Xenopus tropicalis: one gene and its partners. The protein of the gene in region 1 interacts with the protein of each later gene in a pairwise test. Links are inferred from orthologs where the notes say so. Each region holds a gene or a part of one and is shown in the gene's direction. Other genes may lie near its edges.

The links.
Region 2: the proteins of trim32 (region 1) and ptcd2 interact in binary tests that used the Homo sapiens proteins (3 or more experiments, as listed by UniProt). The two-hybrid records come from large-scale screens. The link is inferred for Xenopus tropicalis from reciprocal best matches to the Homo sapiens genes TRIM32 and PTCD2.
Region 3: the proteins of trim32 (region 1) and clip4 interact in binary tests that used the Homo sapiens proteins (3 or more experiments, as listed by UniProt). The two-hybrid records come from large-scale screens. The link is inferred for Xenopus tropicalis from reciprocal best matches to the Homo sapiens genes TRIM32 and CLIP4.
Region 4: the proteins of trim32 (region 1) and ube2u interact in binary tests that used the Homo sapiens proteins (3 or more experiments, as listed by UniProt). The link is inferred for Xenopus tropicalis from reciprocal best matches to the Homo sapiens genes TRIM32 and UBE2U.
Region 5: the proteins of trim32 (region 1) and ube2v1 interact in binary tests that used the Homo sapiens proteins (3 or more experiments, as listed by UniProt). The link is inferred for Xenopus tropicalis from reciprocal best matches to the Homo sapiens genes TRIM32 and UBE2V1.
Region 6: the proteins of trim32 (region 1) and sdcbp interact in binary tests that used the Homo sapiens proteins (3 or more experiments, as listed by UniProt). The two-hybrid records come from large-scale screens. The link is inferred for Xenopus tropicalis from reciprocal best matches to the Homo sapiens genes TRIM32 and SDCBP.
Region 7: the proteins of trim32 (region 1) and abi2 interact in binary tests that used the Homo sapiens proteins (3 or more experiments, as listed by UniProt). The link is inferred for Xenopus tropicalis from reciprocal best matches to the Homo sapiens genes TRIM32 and ABI2.

What each region holds. Positions count from the first base shown.
Region 1 is NC_030684.2:34,070,289-34,074,404, reverse strand, and holds the start of trim32 (E3 ubiquitin-protein ligase TRIM32), read left to right. Parts: upstream 1-1,316; 5' UTR 1,317-1,335; intron 1,336-4,116. UniProt on the Homo sapiens protein: E3 ubiquitin ligase that plays a role in various biological processes including neural stem cell differentiation, innate immunity, inflammatory resonse and autophagy.
Region 2 is NC_030677.2:182,870,178-182,874,169, forward strand, and holds the start of ptcd2 (pentatricopeptide repeat-containing protein 2, mitochondrial), read left to right. Parts: upstream 1-1,192; 5' UTR 1,193-1,290; coding exon of another isoform or gene 1,291-1,366; 5' UTR 1,367-1,598; coding exon 1,599-1,704; intron 1,705-3,992. Other genes in the region: mrps27 (28S ribosomal protein S27, mitochondrial), read right to left, coding at 1,291-1,366. UniProt on the Homo sapiens protein: Involved in mitochondrial RNA maturation and mitochondrial respiratory chain function.
Region 3 is NC_030681.2:6,120,748-6,123,896, forward strand, and holds part of clip4 (CAP-Gly domain-containing linker protein 4), read left to right. Parts: intron 1-838; coding exon 839-903; intron 904-1,031; coding exon 1,032-1,107; coding exon of another isoform or gene 1,108-1,111; intron 1,112-3,149.
Region 4 is NC_030680.2:84,737,277-84,740,776, reverse strand, and holds part of ube2u (ubiquitin-conjugating enzyme E2 U), read left to right. Parts: intron 1-2,769; coding exon 2,770-2,827; intron 2,828-2,915; coding exon 2,916-3,001; intron 3,002-3,500. UniProt on the Homo sapiens protein: Catalyzes the covalent attachment of ubiquitin to other proteins.
Region 5 is NC_030686.2:36,460,929-36,465,220, reverse strand, and holds the start of ube2v1 (ubiquitin-conjugating enzyme E2 variant 1), read left to right. Parts: upstream 1-1,492; 5' UTR 1,493-1,590; coding exon 1,591-1,612; intron 1,613-4,292. UniProt on the Homo sapiens protein: Has no ubiquitin ligase activity on its own. The UBE2V1-UBE2N heterodimer catalyzes the synthesis of non-canonical poly-ubiquitin chains that are linked through Lys-63.
Region 6 is NC_030682.2:116,370,579-116,374,587, forward strand, and holds the start of sdcbp (syntenin-1), read left to right. Parts: upstream 1-1,209; 5' UTR 1,210-1,312; intron 1,313-4,009. UniProt on the Homo sapiens protein: Multifunctional adapter protein involved in diverse array of functions including trafficking of transmembrane proteins, neuro and immunomodulation, exosome biogenesis, and tumorigenesis.
Region 7 is NC_030685.2:54,227,341-54,230,840, forward strand, and holds part of abi2 (abl interactor 2), read left to right. Parts: intron 1-150; coding exon 151-309; intron 310-2,460; coding exon 2,461-2,547; intron 2,548-3,500. UniProt on the Homo sapiens protein: Regulator of actin cytoskeleton dynamics underlying cell motility and adhesion. Functions as a component of the WAVE complex, which activates actin nucleating machinery Arp2/3 to drive lamellipodia formation.

The sequences.
Region 1 (4,116 bases):
AGTTGTGAAAAATACATGCAAGATACGAAAAAGTCGCGACGGTGACAGCAAAGTTGCAAAAATACCGATCATTACGAAAAAAACACAGACGCATTTGGAGCGTTCGTGGATTAGTAAATGTGCCCCAAGGTGTGGGAATGGGCACACTGAGGTTATGTTAAACTAAATGAGGGTAAGCTTCTCTAAATAAATGTGTTTTTAGAGATCTTTGGAAGGCAGAGATATTAGGGATATATATATAAAGGTATTGGACCCCTTATCCGGAAACCCGTTATCCAGAAAGCTCCGAATTACGGAATGCCCGTCTCCCATAGACTCCATTTTAATCAAATAATTCAGAATTTTAAAACTGATTTCCTTTTTTTATGTAGAAATAAAACAGTACCTTGTAACTGATCCCAACTACGATATAACGAATCCTTATTGGATGCAAAACAATCCTATTGGGTTTAATTAATGTTTTATTGATTTTTTAGTAGACTTAAGGTATGGAGATCCAAATTATGGAAAGACCCCCTTATCCGGAATACCCTTGGTCCCAAGCATTCTGGATAATGGGTCCTATACCTGTATATATAAGGGATGCACTGAATCCAGGATTCGGTTTGGTATTCAGCCTTTTTCGCCAGGATTTCGGCCCAATCCATGTGCCCGGCTGAACTGAACCCGAATTCTTAAAATGTAACTTTTCCTCACATATAGTTGAAAAATTCTCAGCGTGCACAGTTTGTGGCTCTTGTTGACTATTCCTTAACTATTTCCGGATCCCCAATCTTATGTCATTTGGGGGCCTGGAATGGCATTTGCCACTTTTTCTGAAGAAAAATAAAGAACTTCAAAACCAATCCTGCAGTGGCTCTAGCCCCAGCCATTAGAAAGTTGCAATAAACTCCCTGAAAAATATATAAAAAAATTCAAGCTATTAGTTTCTACAAAAATCTTTTATTGAGTTCCAGCTAGACCGTGTTCATCGGCGTTTAGTGGAGTTTCCGGTTTCCCAAACTCCCTGCTGCTCAGCCAAAGTTGCTGTTTACCTCAGCTGAACAAATAAACATTTTTCTTTACATATTTTTTTTTATTCATATAGAATAAATTCTCAACATTCTGACTAACATGGATACACTCCAGCTTTGCTATTCATTCATATTGTTATGAAATTGCTTATTACTTTTCGTAACCTATGCACTGTCCGTATAGAGCGAGCAGATACACATTGCAGGGCGCATGTCATTTCTCTACCTCGAAAACACTACAACACCCAGCATGCAGTTTGGCTGAGCGGAAGTGGCGTCAGCGGGTGAACTTTGACCTGTGATATCGGATTGCCTGCCGCAGGTAAGAAGCGAACGTTGTGCCTTGCAAACGTAAAGTGCTGGGGAGGGGGGAAGTGCCCCCATACGGCTGTGTTGCTGGGAGGGCTGGGGCGCAGCATTGCCGTATTGGGACTCAATTGGAGTTTTACCCCCCGGGGTTTGGGAATGTGTCACGGGTTCCTGTTAAATCATATTCAAGTATAATGTATATTTTATATTAAGCTGTAAAGGAAAGATCTTTAATAAATTCTACATATTAATAAAAGCAATCAAATAATGTTTCCGCATTTGCTTTGGAATATAATGCATGTAGAGAACATTTGCAACTTTACTGCATTATTTTACCAGCTGTGATCATACACTGGCAGTTTATTATACTCAATGTATGGGCTGTGGGGTTTTCCAGATGAGGCTGCTAAAAACTATTTAAACATTAAATAAACCCAATTGTATTGATTTGCTACAAATATGGAATCATGCAGCGAATGCTCCCCCAGGTACAATGCATTGTTTTTACATTACAGAGAAAAAGGATTTACTTAAAAAAAAAAAAAAACAATTACAGGTATGGGACCCATTATCCAGAATGCTCGGCCACCTGGGTTTTTTCGGATAAGGGATATTTCCGTAATTCGGATCTACTGCCTAAAGTCTTCTAAAAAAAATCATTTAAACATTAAATAAACCCAATAGGGCTGTTCTGCCCCCAATAAGGGGTAATTATTTCTTAGTTGGGATCAAGTACAAGGTACTGTTTTATTATTACAGAGAAAAGGGAATCATTTAACCATTAAATAAACCCAATAGGACTGTTCTACCCCCAATAAGGGGTAATTATATCTTAGTTGGGATCAAGTACAAGGTACTGTTTTATTATTACAGAGAAAAGGGAATCATTTAAACATGAAATAAACCCAATAGGGCTGTTCTGCCCCCAATAAGGGGTAATTATATCTTAGTTGGGATCAAGTACAAGTACTGTTTTATTATTACAGAGAAAAGGGAATCATTTAACCATTAAATAAACCCAATAGGGCTGTTCTGCCCCCAATAAGGGGTAATTATATCTTAGTTAGGATCAAGTACAGATACTGTTTTATTATTACAGAGAAAAGGGAATCATTTAAACATTAAATAAACCCAATAGGGCTGTTCTGCCCCCAATAAGGGGTAATTATATCTTAGTTGGGATCAAGTACTGGTACTGTTTTATAATTACAGAGAAAAGGGAATCATTTAACCATTAAATAAACCCAATAGGACTGTTCTGCCCCAATAAGGGGTAATTATATCTTAGTTGGGATCAAGTACAGGTACTGTTTTATTATTACAGAGAAAAAGGAAATCATTTTTTAAATGTGACTTATTTGAAATGGAGTCTAAGGGAGACGGCCTTTCCGTAATTCAAAACTTTCTGGATAATGGGTTTCCGGATAAGTGGTCCGATACCTGTACAATTATTTGCTTAAAATTGACTCTGTTGGAGATGGGCTTCCCTTAATTTAGAGCTTACAGGATTCCGCATATGGTATCCCATACCTGGATCTTGTAACTGTATTGCATTACAACATAGCCGAAAGGAATTTGTTCTGATGTTACCATACTTTGGATTCTATGGATATTAAGCTAATGTCCAATGTCGCCCCCGATAGATCTCTGCAACCATGAGCAACTAATTGCTCTGAAATGCCTTCCCACTGTCAGCAATAGGAGTCGCTGGTGGAAAAACCTATGTATCGCTTTGACTTTCCAAAGACACTCAAAGTTGCCTGCAGGAGGAAACTTTGTGCGACTTCGGAAAGCTGAAGTGATGCGTAGGCCTTTCTACCAGTGACTCCTATTGTTGCCGGTGAAAAGGCATTTCGGAGTGGTTAGTCGCCTGCGGTAGCAGATATCTGTCTTGTGCGACTAGCTCGCTCCGTGGGACATCAGCCTTAAGCCGGCCATACACACACACACCGATAATTTTGTACAAAACCTAGTTTCGTACGATATTCGGTGCGCGTATAGTGGCTTGACGAGGCGACCGATATCGCAAAAGGCTGTGAATATCGGTTCAGGGCTGAATCGGCAGAAGGAGGTAGAATTTCTATTGTTTCTACCCCCATATCTGACGATTCAGCCCTGAACGTCAGTGGAGGGTGGGAACGATCGAAATTGTGTGTGGCCACTTTTAGAAATGTACAGATTTCAGATGCTACTTTGCTAAAAAAAATATCTAAACTCAGTACCACTGCAACATAAAAAGGAGCTGCTCAGCAGGTATCAATCTCTTATCTGGAAACCCAATATCCAGAAAGCTTCAAATTATGGGAAGGCCACTATACACAGATTCCACAAATTTTAAGCAAATTATTTATTTATTTATTTATTTATTCCTTTTCCTCAGTAACAATGAAACAGTACCTTGTACTTGATCCTCACTAAGTTACATAAATCCATTCTGGTGGCAAAAAATTCTGTTGGGTTTAATGTTTAAATAATTTTTAATTACTGAAAAAACTCTTATCCAGAAAACACCAGGTCGCAGGCATTCAGAATAGTAAGTCTCATATGTGTATTACTGTTCTTTAACCAGAGGCCACTCAGCTGAATAACTTAGTAATTATGCTACATAACCAGAGGCCACTACAGAATAACTAAACTCAGTACTACTGTTCCAGAATCAGAGGAACAGTAGGTAGTAGGTAACTAACACATTAAAGAAAGCCCTGCCCAAAACAGCTTGCAGTCTAAAAACAGGGCTTTTGCTATATTATAAAAGGCCACTCAGAAGAAAAAAAGACGTGGCAAAATAAGAATC
Region 2 (3,992 bases), on another chromosome or scaffold:
TTCTCTGGTAATTCTAGAATAACGATCCTGATCTTGGCTGGTGTTTTACCAGCTAAGATGCTAAAAATACTGGGCAGGTGACAATCCTATATGTGACATATGCACTGGGGTCTGGGGATGTGGCACTGTTTAAAATAAACATTGGCCATTACCGTCTCCTAAAATATGTAGATGTAGATACATACATATACATCCCACTTCCTGCATCAATAGCTCTAGTGTGCAGCCCGGCACCTACAGAAGGATGAAATATGGCTTGTGCTGTTTTGAAAATCATGCACAACGGGCAGACTGCAGTGCCGACAGGGGCAAGTCAGTTCTCTCCTTGCCTCCTGCCAAATAGAAGGTGATAAGTACAGGGCTACTTTGCATAGCATGTCTGACTGGTGTGTCTGAATGATGCATAACTTAAGGCAGGGCTCCCCAACCTTTCTTACTCGTGAGCCACAGCCAAATGTAAAAAGACTTGGAGAGCAACACAAGCACCATAAAAGTTCATGGAGGTGCCAAATAAAGGCTAAGATTGGCTATTAGGCAGCCTCTATGCACACTATCAGCTTACCAGAGGTTTATTTGGTAGGAAATCTTGTTTTTATTCAACCAAAACTTGCCCCCCAGTCAGGAATTCAAAAATAACTACCTGGTTTGGGGGCACTGGGAGCAACATCCAAGGGGTTGGGGAGCAACATGTTGCCCCTGAGCCACTGGTTGGGGATCACTTAAGGGAACAGAAGTGGGACATCAGTGTGGACCCCCTAGCCTGACACTCATGAATGCTGTTTTTGGGGAGGAAGGAAGGTACTTGCCCTGCAGTGACAGGGGCTGAGGACAGGGCTGGGTGCAAGGTTAATGTGGGTGCTTGCTTGAAAGTTAATGTCATTTGTATGGGAAGTTTATCAAAATAAATCCAGCATGCCTATTGTACCAAACTGCTCAGCTAGTGTATCAGGCTTTTCCCTGATTACAAATACACAATGTTGGGAAGTGGGGTATATACATGATACATGGGTAAAGGGGCACCAAGAACGTGTGTATTAAACTTTGTACAACAAATAAAAACCAACAGACAAGGGGAAGTTTAGCTCCGAGGAGAGAGAGAACTCTTCACCCTGTAACTATAATATAATAATATGACGGTGCATCGAGCGGCTCCAGAGCGAATGTCATTCTCCCCGCACAAGCCCCAGCACAGAAAAGCAGCTACGGATCAGCCACTCGGGCTCTTTCAGACACAGCGGGAGAATATACAGTCTGAGGAGTCTTCATGCACCGAAATTCATACACCGATACCTGTCACTAAGCTGCCGAGCGAGGATAACCGGGACTTGGAAACCAACACACGCCGACACAGCATGGAGGCCGCCATCTTGGAATATACCACGTCGTGCTGTCAGCTGTAGGGGGAAGCAAAGAGAATGGCTGCATCTACGTGCAGTATGCCGTTGAAAGCTCACCCCTCTAACTTATAATAAGATATTAGAACTTTGAACATTTATTCACTAGAGGAGCTGAGTGGTTTAAGCTTACGGACTGCCAATAAAATCACCAAGGCCGGAATAGGTATTACCCCTCTGCAGTTGGTGCGGCCAGGGGACACAATGGCGCTGCTGGGCTCCTGGACTGCCCAACGGTGGCTTCTGGAGAATGGTGGCCGCTCGCTACTCCGTGCTGGGGCCCAGCTGGCTCTGTGCTGCAGCCTCCAAGGTAATCAGCTCCTCCGGGCAGCTATGGGAGCTCACTGGCCTCTCACTGCCTCACAGCTATGGGAGCTCACTGGCCTCTCACTGCCTCACAGCTATGGGAGCTCACTGGCCTCTCACTGCCTCACAGCTATGGGAGCTCACTGGCCTCTCACTGCCTCACAGCTATGGGAGCTCACTGGCCTCTCACTGCCTCACAGCTATGGGAGCTCACTGGCCTCTCACTGCCTCACGGCTATGGGAGCTCACTGGCCTCTCACTGCCTCACGGCTATGGGAGCTCACTGGCCTCTCACTGCCTCACGGCTATGGGAGCTCACTGGCCTCTCACTGCCTCACGGCTATGGGAGCTCACTGGCCTCTCACTGCCTCACGGCTATGGGAGCTCACTGGCCTCTCACTGCCTCACGGCTATGGGAGCTCACTGGCCTCTCACTGCCTCACGGCTATGGGAGCTCACTGGCCTCTCACTGCCTCACGGCTATAGGAGCTCACTGGCCTCTCACAGCTATGGGAGCTCACTGGCCTCTCACGGCTATAGGAGCTCACTGGCCTCTCACTGCCTCACAGCTATAGGAGCTCACTGGCCTCTCACAGCTATAGGAGCTCACTGGCCTCTCACTGCCTCACAGCTATAGGAGCTCACTGGCCTCTCACAGCTATAGGAGCTCACTGGCCTCTCACAGCTATAGGAGCTCACTGGCCTCTCACAGCTATGGGAGCTCACTGGCCTCTCACAGCTATGGGAGCTCACTGGCCTCTCACTGCCTCACGGCTATAGGAGCTCACTGGCCTCTCACTGCCTCACAGCTATAGGAGCTCACTGGCCTCTCACTGCCTCACGGCTATAGGAGCTCACTGGCCTCTCACAGCTATGGGAGCTCACTTGCCTCTCACTGCCTCACGGCTATGGGAGCTCACTGGCCTCTCACTGCCTCACGGCTATGGGAGCTCACTGGCCTCTCACGGCTATGGGAGCTCACTGGCCTCTCACTGCCTCACGGCTATGGGAGCTCACTGGCCTCTCACTGCCTCACGGCTATGGGAGCTCACTGGCCTCTCACTGCCTCACGGCTATGGGAGCTCACTGGCCTCTCACTGCCTCACGGCTATGGGAGCTCACTGGCCTCTCACTGCCTCACGGCTATGGGAGCTCACTGGCCTCTCACAGCTATGGGAGCTCACTGGCCTCTCACTGCTTCTTCCTCTAACTGAAGGGCCTCCGTACCCCCCAAGCGCCTGTTTGTAAAGGTCTATGCTAGAAAGGTGAAAAAGTTAGTTGAGTGCTGTTGTTTTCCTTTCACTTGTATAAATGGTATGCATTGTTACCCCTATAATAAGCTTTGGGAAGCCTTGCTAGTGCATTTATTCATAATGGTGTATTTTCACATTAACACATAAAATATCTGACCAATATCACAGGAGGCCACTAATCAGGTGGGTTAAAAGATTTTGTGTAGCGCCCGAGCAAAATCTGCCTTCAGAGCTTAATCAGCAGAAGGAGGTAGAAATCCTATTGTTTCTACCTCCATATCTGCTGTTTCAGCCTTGAAGGTTAGTGGCGATTGGAAGATTGAAAATCGCCAGGTGTGGTCACCTTTACCTTCCAATTTGTGCCTGTATGTTACCCAACCACTTAGATTGTAAGCTCTACGGGGCAGGCACCTCCTTCCTACTGTGTCTCATACCACATGGCACTTACTCTCTGTGTATTTATATATATTTATTGTATTTATTTATTATAACACTAGTCCTCCCTGTGTGTAATTTTGTATTCTGTAAGATTGTACAGCGCTGCGTACCCTTGTGGCGCTTTATAAACAAAGTTATACATACATACATACATACATACATACATTGGTATAACTCTAGTCTCTATTATTTGACACTAATTAGACCATGATGCTACCTGTGCAGAATACAGCCTGTATATAAACAAGACTGACATCCATTACATTTAGAAATACATACATGTGCTGAAGGAAGGAACCTCCTTTTTAATAGCCATGCAGTCTGTGTTATTTATTGACAATTAGCCATGCAGGTTTTAAATGTATCCTGTTTTAAAGAGGTAAAATGGCAAGTCAATGACACTAGGCGATTAGTCCCCCGCAATATATATCGTCTTCTGTGTGTAACTAATCTCCTGCATGTTTTTCCCCACTGGCAATGGTGAGAATCGCCAGTGGGGAAACATGAGTGGCTACTTTCCGAAGTAGCCCTAAGTTTCCTCGAGGCAACTTCGGCTACTTTGCAAAGCTAAAGCAACGCCAATGCAAAATATAAGTCACCT
Region 3 (3,149 bases), on another chromosome or scaffold:
GATACCATAAAACTATGGCACATAGGGATTCCCCTGTACTAAGCACAATTCAGCAGGAACAGCCCCCTAAGTTTGCTCATAGCCTGTACAGAGAGATACCATAAAACTATGGCAGGATAGGGATTCCCCTGTACTAGGCACAATTCAGCAGGAACAGCCCCCTAAGTTTGCTCATAGCCTGTACAGAGAGATACCATAAAACTATGGCACATAGGGATTCCCCCTGTACTAAGCACAATTCAGCAGGAACAGCCCCCTAAGTTTGCCCATAGCCTGTACAGAGAGATACCATAAAACTATGGCAACATAGGGATTCCCCTGTACTAAGCACAATTCAGCAGGAACAGCCCCCTAAGTTTGCTCATAGCCTGTACAGAGAGATACCATAAAACTATGGCACATAGGGATTCCCCTGTACTAAGCACAATTCAGCAGGAACAGCCCCCTAAGTTTGCCCATAGCCTGTACAGAGAGATACCATAAAACTATGGCACATAGGGATTCCCCTGTACTAAGCACAATTCAGCAGGAACAGCCCCCTAAGTTTGCTCATAGCCTGTACAGAGAGATACCATAAAACTATGGCACATAGGGATTCCCCTGTACTAAGCACAATTCAGCAGGAACAGCCCCCCATTATTGCTTGTGTGTATTATCTGTCTATCGTCACTCAGTATATCTAATACATATTCTTCAATAAAGCAATGTGAATATTGTGTGTATATAAGCGAGTGAGTGGCAGTTACGTTGCTGCGGGGGGGGGGGGGGCAATAGTAGAGAATATTATTGGTTGTACAGTGCGTATCTATTAACCCTATCACTGCCTTCTGCCATGCAGGGTGTCCGGCTCAGTAGACTCCCTCTCAGAAATCCCGGCAAGCAAACTCAATCATTCTTTCCCAGGTAGGTACCGGTGCTGGATCTGTAGTTAGTTGCTAAGGATTCTGGGACTTGTAGTCCCCATCAGCTCTTAATCAAGCCTGTAAAGCGTTAAAGGGAAACCTATAGGTGTAACGGCCTCTTTCCTGCAGGATTCAGGCGGAGTTACAGTTCAACATCAACCCGAGCGTCGCAGAGTGAGGCCGACCGGAGACATTCCCTGGGCAGGTAAAGCCTGAGTCTGCCGCCTTGTGTGCTGAGCCCTACCCACCGTGCAGCCGCAGGGGGAATCTTCAGCATCTGATTGGCTGCCTTTAGATGCAGGCGTCTCCCTATTGGTCAGTTTCCCCCCAAAGGTGCTGCACGAGGTTTATAGTATTATTCATTCAGTATTTATTCTGTGGGGGTGCCTGGGCCCCCACTAATGTAACAGCAATGTGCTACAGTTTCCCCGCCCCCCTCTGGCTTCCGGCCAATGGGAATCACGTGCACTGTTTCTATTGTCTTATAAAACCTTTTCTCTCAGAGCTGTAGGGGGCGCCCTCGTACCAGAAACCATGGATTCTCATTTATACCGTCCCTTTATCTCTGTGTTTCTATTATAGCGGGCAGAGGGGCTCGTGTCACTGACCTTATTACCCACGTCCCTTCTGATTGGCTCTCATGTCATCCTGTAGCCAGTGCGGCACTAACATGGGGCTTGTCAGAGTGATACTGTTTCATTAATGGCAGATACATTGAGTCCTGATGATATTCTGGATAAGCCCAATTCAGCAGGAACAGCCCCCTAAGTTTGCCCATAGCCTGTACAGAGAGATACCATAAAACTATGGCACATAGGGATTCCCCTGTACTAAGCACAATTCAGCAGGAACAGCCCCCTAAGTTTGCCCATAGCCTGTACAGAGAGATACCATAAAACTATGGCACATAGGGATTCCCCTGTACTAAGCACAATTCAGCAGGAACAGCCCCCTAAGTTTGCTCATAGCCTGTACAGAGAGATACCATAAAACTATGGCACATAGGGATTCCCCTGTACTAAGCACAATTCAGCAGGAACAGCCCCCTAAGTTTGCTCATAGCCTGTACAGAGAGATACCATAAAACTATGGCACATAGGGATTCCCCTGTACTAAGCACAATTCAGCAGGAACAGCCCCCAAGTTTGCCCATAGCCTGTACAGAGAGATACCATAAAACTATGGCACATAGGGATTCCCCTGTACTAAGCTCAATTCAGCAGGAACAGCCCCCTAAGTTTGCTCATAGCCTGTACAGAGAGATACCATAAAACTATGGCACATAGGGATTCCCCTGTACTAAGCTCAATTCAGCAGGAACAGCCCCCTAAGTTTGCTCCTAGCCTGTACAGAGAGATACCATAAAACTATGGCACATAGGGATTCCCCTGTACTAAGCACAATTCAGCAGGAACAGCCCCCTAAGTTTGCTCATAGCCTGTACAGAGAGATACCATAAAACTATGGCACATAGGGATTCCCCTGTACTAAGCACAATTCAGCAGGAACAGCCCCCAAGTTTGCCCATAGCCTGTACAGAGAGATACCATAAAACTATGGCACATAGGGATTCCCCTGTACTAAGCACAATTCAGCAGGAACAGCCCCCAAGTTTGCCCATAGCCTGTACAGAGAGATACCATAAAACTATGGCACATAGGGATTCCCCTGTACTAAGCACAATTCAGCAGGAACAGCCCCCTAAGTTTGCTCATAGCCTGTACAGAGAGATACCATAAAACTATGGCACATAGGGATTCCCCTGTACTAAGCACAATTCAGCAGGAACAGCCCCCTAAGTTTGCTCATAGCCTGTACAGAGAGATACCATAAAACTATGGCACATAGGGATTCCCCTGTACTAAGCACAATTCAGCAGGAACAGCCCCCTAAGTTTGCTCATAGCCTGTACAGAGAGATACCATAAAACTATGGCACATAGGGATTCCCCTGTACTAAGCACAATTCAGCAGGAACAGCCCCCTAAGTTTGCTCATAGCCTGTACAGAGAGATACCATAAAACTATGGCACATAGGGATTCCCCTGTACTAAGCACAATTCAGCAGGAACAGCCCCCTAAGTTTGCACATAGCCTGTACAGAGAGATACCATAAAACTATGGCACATAGGGATTCCCCTGTACTAAGCACAATTCAGCAGGAACAGCCCCCTAAGTTTGCTCATAGCCTGTACAGAGAGATACCATAAAACTATGGCACATAGGGATTCCCCTGTACTAAGCACAA
Region 4 (3,500 bases), on another chromosome or scaffold:
AAGGAAGAATGGGGGGGGGGGGGGGTGTTCCTGATCTTCTCTTTGATGGAACGTGGTAGAATGCCACTGCAGGGGAGCACTGAACCATACACTTATCAGTAGAAGTCCTAAGGCTGGCCCAAATCTTTTAAAACTTGTGTGGCTTGATTGCAAATCTGTAAAGACTTGAGTGGCCTAAGTGCAATATCTAGGTTTCTCACCAGAGGGCAACAGATCCTGTGAAAGGGAAAAAAAACTGTAATAAAGAAACAGTTTGTTGGTTGAGTGGTGTGTGCTGCTCTTTCTGAATACATTAAAGCTCTACATATTAAGTTTTACTAAACTTTTTTTATTTACATAGGAAATATAAAACTTAATAGTGCTTTATTGCTATATAACAGGTCAAACAAGCCTTGCCGCACTGTCTTACGTTAACAACATTTTTTGGTAGTGATGGTTTAGGGACAGAGTGCCAAACAAGGTATAAATACTCTTGCTGTCCAAGACACAAGTTCAAAGTCTTTAGACAAACAATATCCTCATCGAAAAGCTGCTCTTTGCAGTGTGCATCCAGCCTTTTAAGCTGCACTGTGAAGATCTGTCTGCATCTTTTTCTTTACTATACAGCTGCCTTCATTTGCCAATGCTGTATTCATAAGCCACTTTGATGCTGCTTTCTGTACCTTGTGGTGCATTTTTAATCAGGTGCAATATGTAGAGTCCATGCACTTGTGCCTGTGGGCTTAGTAAATAAGCCCTATAGTGTAAAATATTACCAAATCCACTTTTTTGGTAACTGACCAAATCACAACTTTGAATGAAGCATTTGGCCAAACTCTGAACCAAATCTGAACCATAATTTGCATTTGTGCTTGTCATATACTTTGTTTCCTCCAAATCCCACTGAAAAAGGCTTAGATTTTGCAAATCCTCAACCAAATCCAGGATTCAGTGCATCTCAATAATAGTCCTTGTGAAGAGTATATATGAAACTTAAGTAATATTATATCATTTGATGCACCTTATAAATTAGGTAAATAAGGTATCTAATGCATATTAGTGATCACATAACTCATAAAAGTTCCTACAAAATAATTTTTCTAAAATTTCTAGTACTAGTGAAGAGTGTGCAGTGGTCTGTTTTCTAAGCCAATAACTAAAAAGCTGTCAGCAGAAATATATAGATAATATTTGAAACAGCATTCAGTTGTCACTGGTGTCAAAACGGACATGTACTTTGAATGAAGAATGCAGATAACACTGATTTAGCATTGGCCTGTGTCTGGAGTTTTATCGAACTGATGCACAAAATGAAATTAATATGTTATAATATAATCGTAAACTAATGCCCCTTACTCAGGCATATGAATCAGTAAAGCAGTGAAGGTATTTAAAGCTTAACACCTTCACTGCTTTCCTTTTAATACCTTCACTGCTTTACTGGTCCCTATGTCTGACGTAGGAGCGTGCCCCAAATTGTTACACATGTTGTGCCAGTACATTTTTTTTAATTATTGCATAAGAATAGGGGGTGCTGATCCCTTGTTTGTGTCCTGAGCACTGGGTTACAAATTTTGGAAAGGCCAGGGTGTGCGGTGAGTACATTGACGTCTTTGTAGGCCCCAAAGTATGATCAGCTTAATTTGATATGATGATCTGCCTGCTTTGACCCAGTATGTGGGAGGCCAAATTGGGCCTAAATCTGCCTGTTTGATTCCAATTAAGAAGATCTGCTGTGTATGGCCATCTTGATATTTACATGGCAACAAATGAAGGATAACACTGCATGATTAGAAATTATTCCTTTGCTAATTAGTGAACTGGCTTTGTATTTTATTTTTCTTGCAGGTTATAAAGAATATACCAAAAAGAAAAAAGAGCACCCCTTAGGTGATCTTTATTTAGACTCCAATCAGTTGCACCATTCCCCCCAACACCAAACAGGTAAATTAATGCCCAGAGACAAGATAAATAGAATTAAAGCTTAACTTTTATTTACATAAATAAAATCCCTATATAAATTCCTAAAAAAACATGAATTAAAAAACCCGTATTGTGACACATTCTTGTCATCACTAAGGGGTAATCATGGGTATAAGGCGAAAACAAACAATTAGTACTAATGCAACCCAAGTGGTGAATTTGATACTTTTGTCCCCACCTTATTTAGCAACTTGTATCACTCTGTCTTAAATTCCCCATCCAAATCATGGACGCTAATATAATCTCAACAGAGGCTTTGCAACAATTGTATTAACATCATCGTTTTTTAGTATCAAGTAATCCTTTTTAGTGCAGATGCCAGAGTCACGCTGTCCCTTTTTGTTTCAATCAATTAACAGCAAGTACACCTAGGTATCGTGTATTTCCTTCAGAGTCATCCCCCAATCACATTAGCCATCCACATTAATAGTTTAACAGAAATTATGTAGGACAAATTCCCCTCAGTCCCAACCTTCAACCCCACCAACAGGTCACCCTCGCACTTAAAACAGGCGCCGTCAACACCCCTTCTCCTCCCCCTTCTGAACAAAATAAAAGTTTTTAAATAAAAGTTAAGCTTTCATTCTATTTATCATGTCTCTGGACATTCATTTACCTGTTTGGTGTTGGGGGGAATGGTGCTCTTTTTTCTTTGTGGTATATACTTATTTGATGCTCCGTATGCATATTACCCTCTCTTTCTCAATTGATGTGATACACTCTCATGTGGATGGTGTAATTATGCACCTGAGATCTGATATTTTTTTTGTGTGGAAGGTGCAAATATTCCTCTCTCATATATTTCAGGTTATAATGAAGCAACTTTCAATACAGGAACATCCTCACAGTGGAATTACAACAAACAGTATGTTTTAATTACATGTTTATTTCTGGAACAATATGAAATATGAATATGTGAAATGTTCAGAAATACACAGTTTTCTCTCTTGCAGTTTAATAATCCAGAATTCTGAAACAACCCCCAAGCATATCTTATTAGAGATGGATACCCAGTTGCACACACTCTGCAGTTTATCAGGTAATTCATGTGTAATTTATAAACAAGCTAACTAACTATTTATGTGATATATAATAGTCTGTAATATTCACATTTATGTAACATAATTAGACTAAATAAACAGGCTGTCTTCATTCATGTAATCAAGTAGGCCTATATAGCTCACGATATAGCTGAAGAGTATGCACATAAGTGATATGGCCCTCTCATTGTAAAAGTCCTGACCGACAATGCTCTTTAATTTCTTCTTAAACATTTTAAACTTGTGTGCGCATTTTTAAAAACATTGTGCTTAGTTCAGAATAGATACAAAATGTATTGCTTTCAAACAAAATTCTTGGCATGCACACCACAGTTTGTTGTGTGCACTGGCCTCAAAACGTGTGTGTATAATACATTGCAACTTTACTCCCTTTTTATCATTTATTCATTGATAGAAGGACCAGGTGGAAGGTCTCAGAGCTAAGCAACAGGTTTCCAAAGAGCTCAGTGATCCCCTTACATAGCCCAGACTTGCCAG
Region 5 (4,292 bases), on another chromosome or scaffold:
ACAAATCTTAATATAAAATATTGTGCTCTGGGCACACAATAAGCTGTACCCCCATACTGCACTGTCTAAGGGAAACAATATGGCACCTCCCTCCCATATGTATAAATACAAATATACAGAGAAGGAATGTTCTGGGCACACAATAAGCTGTACCCCCATACTGCACTGTCTAAGGGAAACAATATGGCACCTCCCTCCCATATGTATAAATACAAATATACAGAGAAGGAATGTTCTGGGCACACAATAAGCTGTACCCTCATACTGTACTGTCTAAGGGAAACAATATGGCACCTCCCTCCCATATGTATAAATACAAATATACAGAGAAGGAATGTTCTGGGCACACAATAAGCTGTACGCTCATACTGTACTGTCTAAGGGAAACAATATGGCACCTCCCTCCCATATGTATAAATACAAATATACAGGGAAGGAATGTTCTGGGCACACAATAAGCTGTACCCTCATACTGTACTGTCTAAGGGAAACAATATGGCACCTCCCTCCCATATGAATAAATACAAATATACAGAGAAGGAATGTTCTGGGCACACAATAAGCTCTACCCTCATACTGTACTGTCTAAGGGAAACAATATGGCACCTCCCTCCCATATGTATAAATACAAATATACAGAGAAGGAATGTTCTGGGCACACAATAAGCTGTACCCTCATACTGTACTGTCTAAGGGAAACAATATGGCACCTCCCTCCCATATGTATAAATACAAATATACAGAGAAGGAATGTTCTGGGCACACAATAAGCTGTACGCTCATACTGTACTGTCTAAGGGAAACAATATGGCACCTCCCTCCCATATGTATAAATACAAATATACAGAGAAGGAATGTTCTGGGCACACAATAAGCTGTACCCCCATACTGTACTGTCTAAGGGAAACATTATGGCACCTCCCTCCCATATGTATAAATACAAATATACAGAGAAGGAATGTTCTGGGCACACAATAAGCTGTACCCTCATACTGTACTGTACTAAAGGAAACAATATGGCAGCTCCAATGAAGTTACTTTTTAATCAAGAATTCTGCCTCACGATATGCTCAGTGAGTTTTTTTCAAAAAAAACATGATATCCACTCCCTTAGCTAAAGGCTTGGGCAGTGCACCTGAGCCTCTCTTTCTCTGCAGTGAGTTGTTGGACATATTTAGAATCACACAATAAGCTGTACCATCATACTGTAATGTGTAAAATACAAACATATTTATACAATATAAGAAGACAAGGCCTAGAGATTAAAAAAACATTTTGCTCCCAGAAGCTAGCTATAGGTACATACCTGGGCCATATATTTGCCCATTTAGTTTATTTTTTTTATATCTATCTCATTTTTGACACATTTACACTTTTCCTATTCATACATTTCCCTTATGAAGCATGTCAGTCTCGTTTATGACGCAAGACGCAGCACGTAATGACGTATTGACGCCGCCTCTTCCCGTCTCTATGGTGCGTGTGAGTCAGCCCTTTCTCCCCGCCCACTCCCTGCCTGACAGCCGGCTGAAGCTCCCCGCCCTGTGTGGCGTCACTGGGAGGCCGGCTCAGGAGCACTGCGAAGGCAAGATGGCGGCCACCACGGTCTCGGGTGAGCTGGGTGACGGGGCGCTGCGGGACAGGGAAGCGGGGGGAGGGCTTGCTGAGGGCAGGTTGCACCGCCGGCCAGGAACTGGCTTCTCTGGGGTTCCTGCTGTACTGTGGGGCGGTGCCTTGGCCCGGGTAGCGCTGCTGCGGGGCCTTCGCACCTCTCCGCACGGCTCTGCCCTGTCAGGAGCCCCGGGTTCCTGCTTGTGCCGGTAGCGCGGAATCAGCTGCCCCCGGAGGCCTGGGAGGGAAGCACTAGGTGTTACAGCTCCCAATCCGCCAGTGACAAGACTCGGCCCTGCCTGCACTGCTGTTCCCCCGGGCTGGGCGGCTGCAGAGGGCTGCCTGGGCTCTCCCTTACTAATGCCGGGCAATCAGACATGTTTGACAGCTGCAGGGCCACACGTTTAAAGGGGAACACCGCCCACAAACAGGATTTATTGCAGAAGAATTACTCAGCAACGTCCCAATAGTCACTGACTTCCACTGGGTTTTGCCACATAGGCAAATGAAAATTCTATGTGCTCTGCTGGTACTGACTCCTGAAGCAATGTAGCAGAAACCAGGGGATTAATAGTGCAGTCAGGACTAGAGAAAAAGGCACTACATTCAGTTTCTAATTGTTTCCCCATCAGTAGTGTGGCCTAAAGGTGGCCTTACACTGTAAGAAACGCTTGCTTGGCGAGGGCGCCCATAGAGTGGATCTCCTCCCGATATGCCCACCCTAGGGCCAAATTATCAAATTAAAACAGTGGGCATAGGCACCGTTAGTGCAGTGACTGCATCAATGAGGTCCCCGGTCCGACAGAAGAATCAAACCTGCCCGATCAAGATCTGGTGCCCATACACAGGCAGATAAACAGGGAGATTGTTGGCGCCCATACACAGGCAGATAAACAGGGAGATTGTTGGTGCCCATACACAGGCAGATAAACAGGGAGATTGTTGGTGCCCATACACAGGCAGATAAAAAGGGAGATTGTTAGCGCCCATACACAGGCAGATAAACAGGGAGATTGTTAGCGCCCATACACGGGCAGATAAACAGGGAGATTGTCGGTGCCCATACACAGGCAGATAAACAGGGAGATTGTTGGCGCCCATACACAGGCAGATAAACAGGTAGATTGTTGGCGCCCATACACAGGCAGATAAACAGGGAGATTGTTGGCGCCCATACACAGGCAGATAAACAGGGAGATTGTTGGCGCCCATACACAGGCAGATAAACAGGGAGATTGTTAGCGCCCATACACAGGCAGCTAAACAGGGAGATTGTTAGCGCCCATACACAGGCAGATAAACAGGGAGATTGTTGGTGCCCATACACAGGCAGATAAACAGGGAGATTGTTGGTGCCCATACACAGTCAGATAAACAGGGAGATTGTTGGTGCCCATACACAGTCAGATAAACAGGGAGATTGTTGGTGCCCATACACAGGCAGATAAACAGGGAGATTGTTGGTGCCCATACACAGTCAGATAAACAGGGAGATTGTTGGTGCCCATACACAGGCAGATAAACAGGGAGATTGTTGGTGCCCATACACAGGCAGATAAACAGGGAGATTGTTGGTGCCCATACACAGGCACATTGGATCTAAAGGACTGATATATTGGCAGCTGAAATCAGCCAGCGTATGGCCATCTTTACTCAGTTTAGGGGAAACAGTAGTTTTTTTTTTTTTTTTTTTTTTTTTTTTTTTAAGCCCCCGGCAGCACTAGACTGCCCTCACCAGGAGCGAGCTCCCCAAGTACCTGCCACAACTCGCTCATTATGCGCATGCTTGTGACATAGGAGGGTGAATCGCATACGTGGGAAACAACATGGCTGCCCGCACTGGGAGCTGCCTCCATCAAGCTAATGCACTGTATCCTATGGCCACAAACTGGCACCTTCCCTAGTTCCCTGGGGCACTATAGGAAGCACAATACATAACTTCATATTAATATTCTGTCATGTTAGACATCCAGTCTGTGCCCGTGCAATGTCCTGCACCCCCAGGGCATTATTTTCAGGTGCCCTGGAATCCCTTGAATACTTCCTTCTAGGTAGATTGAAGTCTGGGCAGTACAGTTAGCTGGTAGATAAGTGACCATTCTGTCTGGTCTCAACATGAATCTCAGCCTCAGTTTGGACAGGTTAAACAGAACTGTTTGGGTCCTGTATAAGGGTGAAGACACACTAAGCTACTAGTAGCAGCTACTTTCTCATGGCTATTAAACTCCAGAAAATCCCCTGCCATAGACAATACTGAGAATTGCCTCTGCTAAAACACACATAGAGACAATTATCAGTAAATGATCAGCATTGTCTATTTTAGTAGCCGTGACAAGTAGCTGCTACTAGTAGCTCTGTGTGTCTTCACTCTAAATATTACTAGCAACTAACTTGATTTGCCATTTCAACAAGCCTAGATGTCTCCTTATGGATAAAAACTAATTCCTAATATGTATGCTTTCATTGCTATATGCCATGGTAATTTAATTTAACAGGGAATTTACCTCTTCAACAGGTTTCACCCTCCCCCTTTCCGAATAGGAAGTGTTGTAACTTTCACAGCTTTTCCCTTGAGGTTTAGCAGTTTTTTTTTTTTTAATATATAGTTTGTGATACTAAAAGACCTCCAGGCTATCCATACATGCTCGGGATTGTAATGTAGATACTGCAAGTTGCAGGTT
Region 6 (4,009 bases), on another chromosome or scaffold:
GAATTTTTTAACCTGCCCGATCAATATCTGGCCGATTTCCAAGGGACCGATATCGGCATCTACAATCTGCATGTGTATGACCACCTTTACTGGCTCCATGCACCTTTCCCCTGCCCAGTCTGCCCATTTCCCTGACCCTTGCAACACCCTCAAATGTCACTTCCCGCCCACCAACCCAAATGCTAGTACTAGCCACAGAAAAAGGTAGCAACCCTTATCCATGATAGCTTTGCCACCTTTGAAGAGTTATTTTAATGGCAGGAGCGGAGCTATGAGAGAGCAGGGTGGGCACAAAGGAGTGGGATGTGACATAAAGGGAAAGGGTTATGGCGCAAGAGGGTAGTCAGGCTGAACTGGAAGGCCATTTTGTAAGTAGAGCTAGTCTCTTTGGAAGCTGCAAGGGCTGATGGGAGGCAGGCCTGGGGTGGATGGAATAGTTATCATAAATTTACAGACAAGTATGTTGCCAGTAAATTTGTTATGGGCCCCAGGCTTGTATATAGGGGCTAGGTATAGGAGCTGGGACAGAGAGAAGCTGCACTGCATGTTGGTTAGTGTGGGAGGCACATCAGCCCTGTGTCAGTCCTGTTATTATTAGAATGCGTGTGAGGGGTAGGGCTCCCACTTTTTCTGGGAAAACACCAGCTTTTCTATATTTTTTTGTTTTCCCTATTAATTATATATTTTTTACTAGCCAGCCTGCAACCCTAGTGATGGACATTCATTCCCCCTTTACTATAAACATTTACAAAGAGCCAACACACTCTGCAGTGCTGTATAGCAGAATGGTATAAAACATACAAATTACATATCAATAAAAACCCAGAAGAAAAAGGGGCCGGGCCCGGCACAATAAATTTCCCTTTACAATCTTGGGGGGGCGGGGTCGCACTTTTTCCCGGCTAGGTAGGGGATAGCTCCTAACAAATGACTGTGTTCTCTGTGTTTAACTCATGAAAACAAGAATGGAGGAAATGGGAATATTAAAATAGCAACACCCCACCCCGGAGTCTTCAACTTCCCGTTACCCTTGGCAACAGTCACGGGGCCGACTTTTCGGAAAATGACGTCACCCGCCTTGAACCCCGCCCACCCCTCCTTCCTGCTCCCGCCTTAGCCCCGCCCACCCCTCCTCCCTGTGCTCTCCCCTGCTCTGCCCGAGTGTGCGACTGCCTTTGTCTTCCGTCAGCGCCATCTCCGTGCCGTGACGTCAGTGCTGTGAAGAGACGGGTCGGGAGAAGGCAGCTGTGGGGAGGACTAGTTAGCAACTAACGGGAAGGGCTTCCACTTCGAGTTATTCTCCTGCCGGCAGGTAAGTGTCCCCCTTACAGCTTCTCTTCACAGAAACATTATTTTGGGCTGTCCCACCAGCAGCAAGGCAGAGGGTGGTTATTATCCTCCCTTAGGTCCATACAACTCAGTTTTGTTCTCCCCCCCCCCCCCATCGCTGTTGTGCTTCCCAGGCAGGTGTGCCCATTCAGTGTCCCCCAGGTGTGACTGGAGCCGGAGCCCCCCGGCAGCTCATTGGGCGGTAGTACGGGCCGTGGGTGGAACTATTAAGGAAGGGGGGGGGGGGGGGGGGGGTGCGACTCCTGAGGCCGGGTGGGCCGCTCATAAACACTTTCACTGAATGTTTGTGAAGGGCTTATTCTTATTTAATTTTAGGGGGTCCCCAATATCAATTTTCCTGTGGGCCCAATGATGTCTGGTTATGCCAGTGATTACGCCCCATTAGGGGACCAGCTCCAGTTGGGGCATAAAGGGCGTATTTATTGGGGCCCCATGTTCATTTGAGGGTCTTAAAAGCTGCCATAAAGGGGGAATAGAAGATATAGACATTTTTTGAGAAACACAGGAGGGTAGTTGGTTGATATGACTAAGTAATACAAATCCACCTTTTCTGTCTCACTCACTTTGGCCTCTTTATTCACTAACTTTGCCATTCTATTTCTTACATACGCTTGCCCAGCGCTCTCCTGTGTGGCTATTTCTAATGGTGGGACCATCCATAGAGCAATAGGTGCCATGGCATTGGCCAGAGGTCAAGTGAGGTGATTTGGATTCCTTTAAAATCTTGTTTCCGCTGAGCCATTTGCCTATTTTGAGTCCCCAATACCCAGAAGGGATTTGGGAGGACTAAGCCATGTCATGTGACCGAACGGCATTCTTAAACACCAGATTATCTGGTATAGACATTAATGTAGGGTTAAAAAAATGTGTTTTAGGCCTTTGGTTTCACTAACATCGTCTTTAAATAAGGTGAGAGACAGGAGGAAGTGTGAGAGACCTTGGGCACAGTTGTGTAGATGAGTTTAGGGAAGGTGCTACAGACACCTCTAATGGAGGAAGATCACAAGTTAAAGTGACTTTTTTCTGTGACATTTTTACCGTTGACCGTGTAAGGTGGCAGCCTAAAGAATTACATGAATGTGGCCATGCCAAAAGTACTATTTCTATTAATAAGCACCTACATCAGTGGAATTTACAAACTGGTAATTTGCAGGCTGGGTTTCCTGCCTGCTGAACGTCGTTGGTTAGCACACTTTATTTAATGTGAGTCAGGATCAGTATTGTGGGTGCATGCTTCTGGTCACGTGATCATTTGGTTGGGGGTGTGTGTAGGGGAAACATTATGTGGCACTATATATCTGTGAATGCAGGTTTGTGTATGTATATGTCCATCTGAAGGCCACATTCTGCATCTGTAGCTTTTTTCAGTGGTTTGGTTCGGATTCTAAGGGCTCTGGCACACAGGGAGATTAGTCGCCCGCAACAAATCTCCTGTGTCTCGGGCGACTAATCTCCCCGAAATGCCATCCCACCGGCGAAAATGTAAATCGACATTTATATTTACTTGTGTCTCTCATAATCAGCACATATAATCAACTGGTCAGTGCTAATTACAGGTGACGCATATAATTAAATCTAGCCATTAACAACTCTAAATTTACTTACTCTGTTTTTATTATTATTATTTTATGAGCCACCAGAACTTGAATCTATCTCTGTTGTAGACACAGGACATTTACCATACAGCAGCTGTGTTGGACACAGCTTAGTTTAGCTGTCCCAGGCGTCATCTTATAGGGACACGCTAGTCATTTAGTCACATTATGGTCGTGGCCATACTTTTCCAAGAAAATGTTGCACAGCACTGATCTAGGAGAAGATTTAGGCATTTTCCCTAAATCCCACCTTGGCCTTCAGGTTCACCCCCCAGTCACTGCTCTTTATCTACGGGGACAGTCTTAAAGGAGAAGTAAAAACTAAGTAAGCTTTATCAGAAAGGTCTATGTAAATACAGCCATAAGTACTCACAGAAACACTGCACTGACTTCTCTGAAAAAAGATTAGTTGTGTCTGTAATTCCTGTGCCAGAGACACGCAGCTTTCAGCTCTCTGCTCTCTCCTTCTCCCCCCTCCCTCAAGAATGTTAAGAACTCACAACCCCCCTTAGGAATGTGGATCTGAGCCAATCAGCAGGAAGCTGACTCATAGTCTTACTAACTGAGCATGTTCAGTGGTCTCGGTGTCTGTGCAGGAGTGAGGCATTATGGGAACTTTCTTTACACAGCTTAGGGTTTTTTCTTCCTGTTTGGCTTCTGATCATCTGAACAGGAGAAATGTGGGGAGACTTAAGGGCATTATTGAGACAACTGAAGGTATGCCTGCAGCTTGAGATTAACTCTTTACTAGCCTTTCCTTCTCCTTTAAATTTTGAAAACTGCTGATAAAGATTTGCAGACCGCTTTGTAAACCTAAGTAGTGCTGGGCGGTATACCGGTTTAACCGGTATACCGGTTTTTGAAAAAAAAACGATATGATTTTTGAACATACCGCTATACCGGTATGCGCGCCTCCTGCAGTTTTTATCCAATTACATCCGGGTTGCGCCCGTGCGCACGTGACGTCGGCGCGCATGTGACGTCGGCGCGCACGCGACGTCGCTAGGACGCATCGCTGGGGCTGGGGCTGGGGCTGGTGCTGGGGTTGGGGGGGTTGTGGCTGG
Region 7 (3,500 bases), on another chromosome or scaffold:
ATCAGGCATGCCCCCAACACATATGTTTCCTTCCTCAGGAAAAGCCTTTTTGTATTTTTTTATGAATATACATAGCCTAGTAATTTGTGTCCCGATACCAAACATTTAAATAATTCCTAAGCATTGCACCATCATTTTTACACCTTTTAGGGCATCCTGCACAGTTTTACAGTATGAACAGACCAGTATCTCGGCACAATCCACCAACAATTGGAGGCTCTCTGCCCTATCGGCGCCCTCCGTCGATGACCACCCAGCCCAGCCTTCAGAACCAGATAAATGGAGGGCCTTTCTACAGCCAAAACCCAGGTAAGAGCATTTATGAAAGCATGCACCAAATGCAGGAATCTGTTATGGATTCAGCAAATCTTGTAAGTGATTACGAGTAAATGTTAATTTGCAATATTTTTTTTATATTTTTTAACGATTTGTGGGAAGCTTGGAGTTAGATGGGAATTTTTATAACGGATAGTCTTATCCCCATCACACTTTTTAAACTGCAGTGCAGATTAGTAATGGACTTAACAATTGACTTTAAAATTAGGTTACAATTTACATTTATTTCACAATTGACTACAGTTTCCTTCTCCTTTAAACAATAATTAAAGGAAAGTAATTTTGGCATTTTACTGCCAGTAGATTCGCCACATTAGTGCCATACCTGAGTAAAGAGCCCTAGAAGCTTTCTCTGTTTAAAGGACTTGTAAAGCCTACATTTGCCTACAATGTATAACAGTTGGGCACGTCTCCCCCACCCAAATGGCATCATTTGTACTGCATATATCCCCTCCACTTGCCAGCACCATCACATGTTCCTAAAGCAAATAGCAGCTTTCACCCGGTGGCCATTTTTCCTCTGATACATAATCAGATACATTTAAATCTGCAAACAGCACACACACACACAGACCCTTATTCAGCATACATTTCATCAAAAATACAGGCTCACACAGGCACAACTGTCTCTGATAAAGTTCTGATTTGTTTGAGCTGAGCTCAGGAGAGGAGGTTAGGAAAAAAAAATTGAAGTCAGCTAGAGCTGAGTTTCTATGGGAACCAGCAATGCCATTTCTTTACTGGCTGCTAGACTGGAGGGCATGTTTAGTTATCTGAGCTTAGAACAACTGAGCATGTCCACAAGCCAGACGTCAAAGCAAATTCCCAAGGTGGGGGGCAAGTGGGTTACAGGAGAAGAAGGAAATCTAAGTGATTAAGGAGATGTTGCAGCCTTACTATTAACCGCTGGACAACCAGAGTGGCAGGTATTGAAAGATTTCAAAGAGGCTGTTCACTGATTACATTTTTGTGTGTGGGATTTTCATATCCTTTAAGATAGCAGCTGCCATTTTAGCTTGATCTTCATAGCTTCCTGCTTGCAGCCCTAGCCGTTGTAGCTCAGATTACACATTCCTAAGGGTGGGGGGAGTGAGTTTTATCAAAAAATCCTGTGTTCCTTTTGATAGAGTGCAGTGTTTCTGGGAGTGCTTATGGCTGTTTTTACATAGACCATTTTGATAAAGCTTACTTAGTTTTTACCTTTCCTTCTCCTTTAATGGAAAAGTAACACTAAAAATTTTTAAGTAAAAAATCTATTCTACCCTGCCCCAATAATTGCCCTATCCTACAAACCATTTATTATTTTGAATGCTTTAGTACAAAATACCTTTTTAAACTTGGCTTTCGGTAATTTGAAGAAAGGCGATACGGTGATGCAGGGGAAGTATTGGGGGAAGCAGCCAGGTAGATTTTTTACTTCAAATTTTTTAGTGTTACTTTTCCTTTAAGGCTCTATAGTAGTCCAATGCAGAATGCCACAAATACTAAATACCAAGTTCAGCTAGATGGGGAAACAATGCAGACAGCTTCAAAGGCGTTGGTTGTTACTTGCTAGTAACACCACAGATGATCTACCAAATTCACTGGGTATCCAAGTTGGTCATTCTGCTTAATTATTTATGGCAGTGATACACGTGGAGATTAGTTGTCGTGGGCGAATTATCTCCCCACAATGCAATCCCACCTCCTTGAGAGGAAACTTTGGGCGACTTCAGCAAATCGCAGTGCCGCGTATGCCATCCCACCAGCGATTTACATTCTACCTGGTGCGGTGGCATTGCAGGGAGATTTGTTGCGCGGCGACTAATCTCCCCATGTGTCAATGCCCTTACTGTCAGTGTATGTGTATTTCATATGAAACTACCTGAAATATGTATAAATTACATTCTCTCTTGATAATGTAAGTGAGTGATTTTGTAGTGTGCCAAATCAGGTACAATAAATATTGTGTAATATAAATATTGTACAAGTACAATTAAAATCTTCCTAAATAAAAACATTTATCTCTGTGTAGTGGCCCTTTTGTGGCACATTAAATTATTTTTCTGATTGTGTTGTGTTGCAGTCTATTAGTATTTTTGTTGCAGAGCAGCCATACATTTTAATAAAACTGCTTCTTTTTAGTGTCACATGCTCCTCCTCCTCCCTCCATTCTACAAGTAACGCCACAGCTTCCTTTGATGGGATTTGTGGCAAGAGTTCAAGAAAACAGTAAGTTGTTTTTCTGCTTAATTCACATGTTCAAGTTCCACGTGAGTTCCCTTTTTCATCCAGAGCAATTAAGTGATTTAAAAGGGGAACTCCGCCCAAACATGGTTTGCTTACTGAAAGAAAATGTAATTCTAAGCAACTTTGCAATAACATTAAGTAAACATTGACAGTTGTTTTAAAGTTATTTGTAATTGCAACTGAAAGCTGTTTTTATTTATTCTTTCTGAACTAGTGACTCTTGTCAGAACCAGCAGGACAGACCCTAGAAAGGCACAGACAGATTCCCCTTTCAACAGCAATTACATTTACAAGTAACGCTAAGGCTACTGTAACAGATATGTGTACTGTCCACTTTTCTCTGCCTGCGAGAAGCTCATGTCTTATCTAACAGGCACAGCTTCAGCCTGAGTTCAGCTACAGGGAACAGAGATCAGCATGAAAAAGGTGAAAGCATGTGTTTTCAGGCCAATCACAGTCCCATGTAGCTGCACTCTGGCCAGTGCCGTGCAGCTACAGAGAGCTGCAGATAAGAGGGTATGTGGATGGTATGCCACGTGTGATTGTTGTATAAAACACTTGACTTGATGTATATTAGAGAGTTGCTTAAATTGTATTTTCTTTATTATGCTAGAAATGTTTGGGTGGCGTTTCTGTTAAGTCAGCTGATTGAACATAGATTGAACATACACTTTTGTAACTTGTCTGCTAATAGTTAAAATGCTATGCAATGCAACTTTTGACTTTTTTGCAGGAAAGTTGAAGCTACTCCATGTATAGTCCTTGCACGGTAGATAATTAGCAGTATACACAATATGTTGTGACTGTTTTGTTAGCAGGAGTCCATTATGCATTATGTTTTACAAGGGGTATACTGTCCCTTTAGGTTCTACATAAAGCACTGCTTTATGTCAAAGGCCTTAGACCCAGAGAGTCAGATTTGGTATAAATAGTAT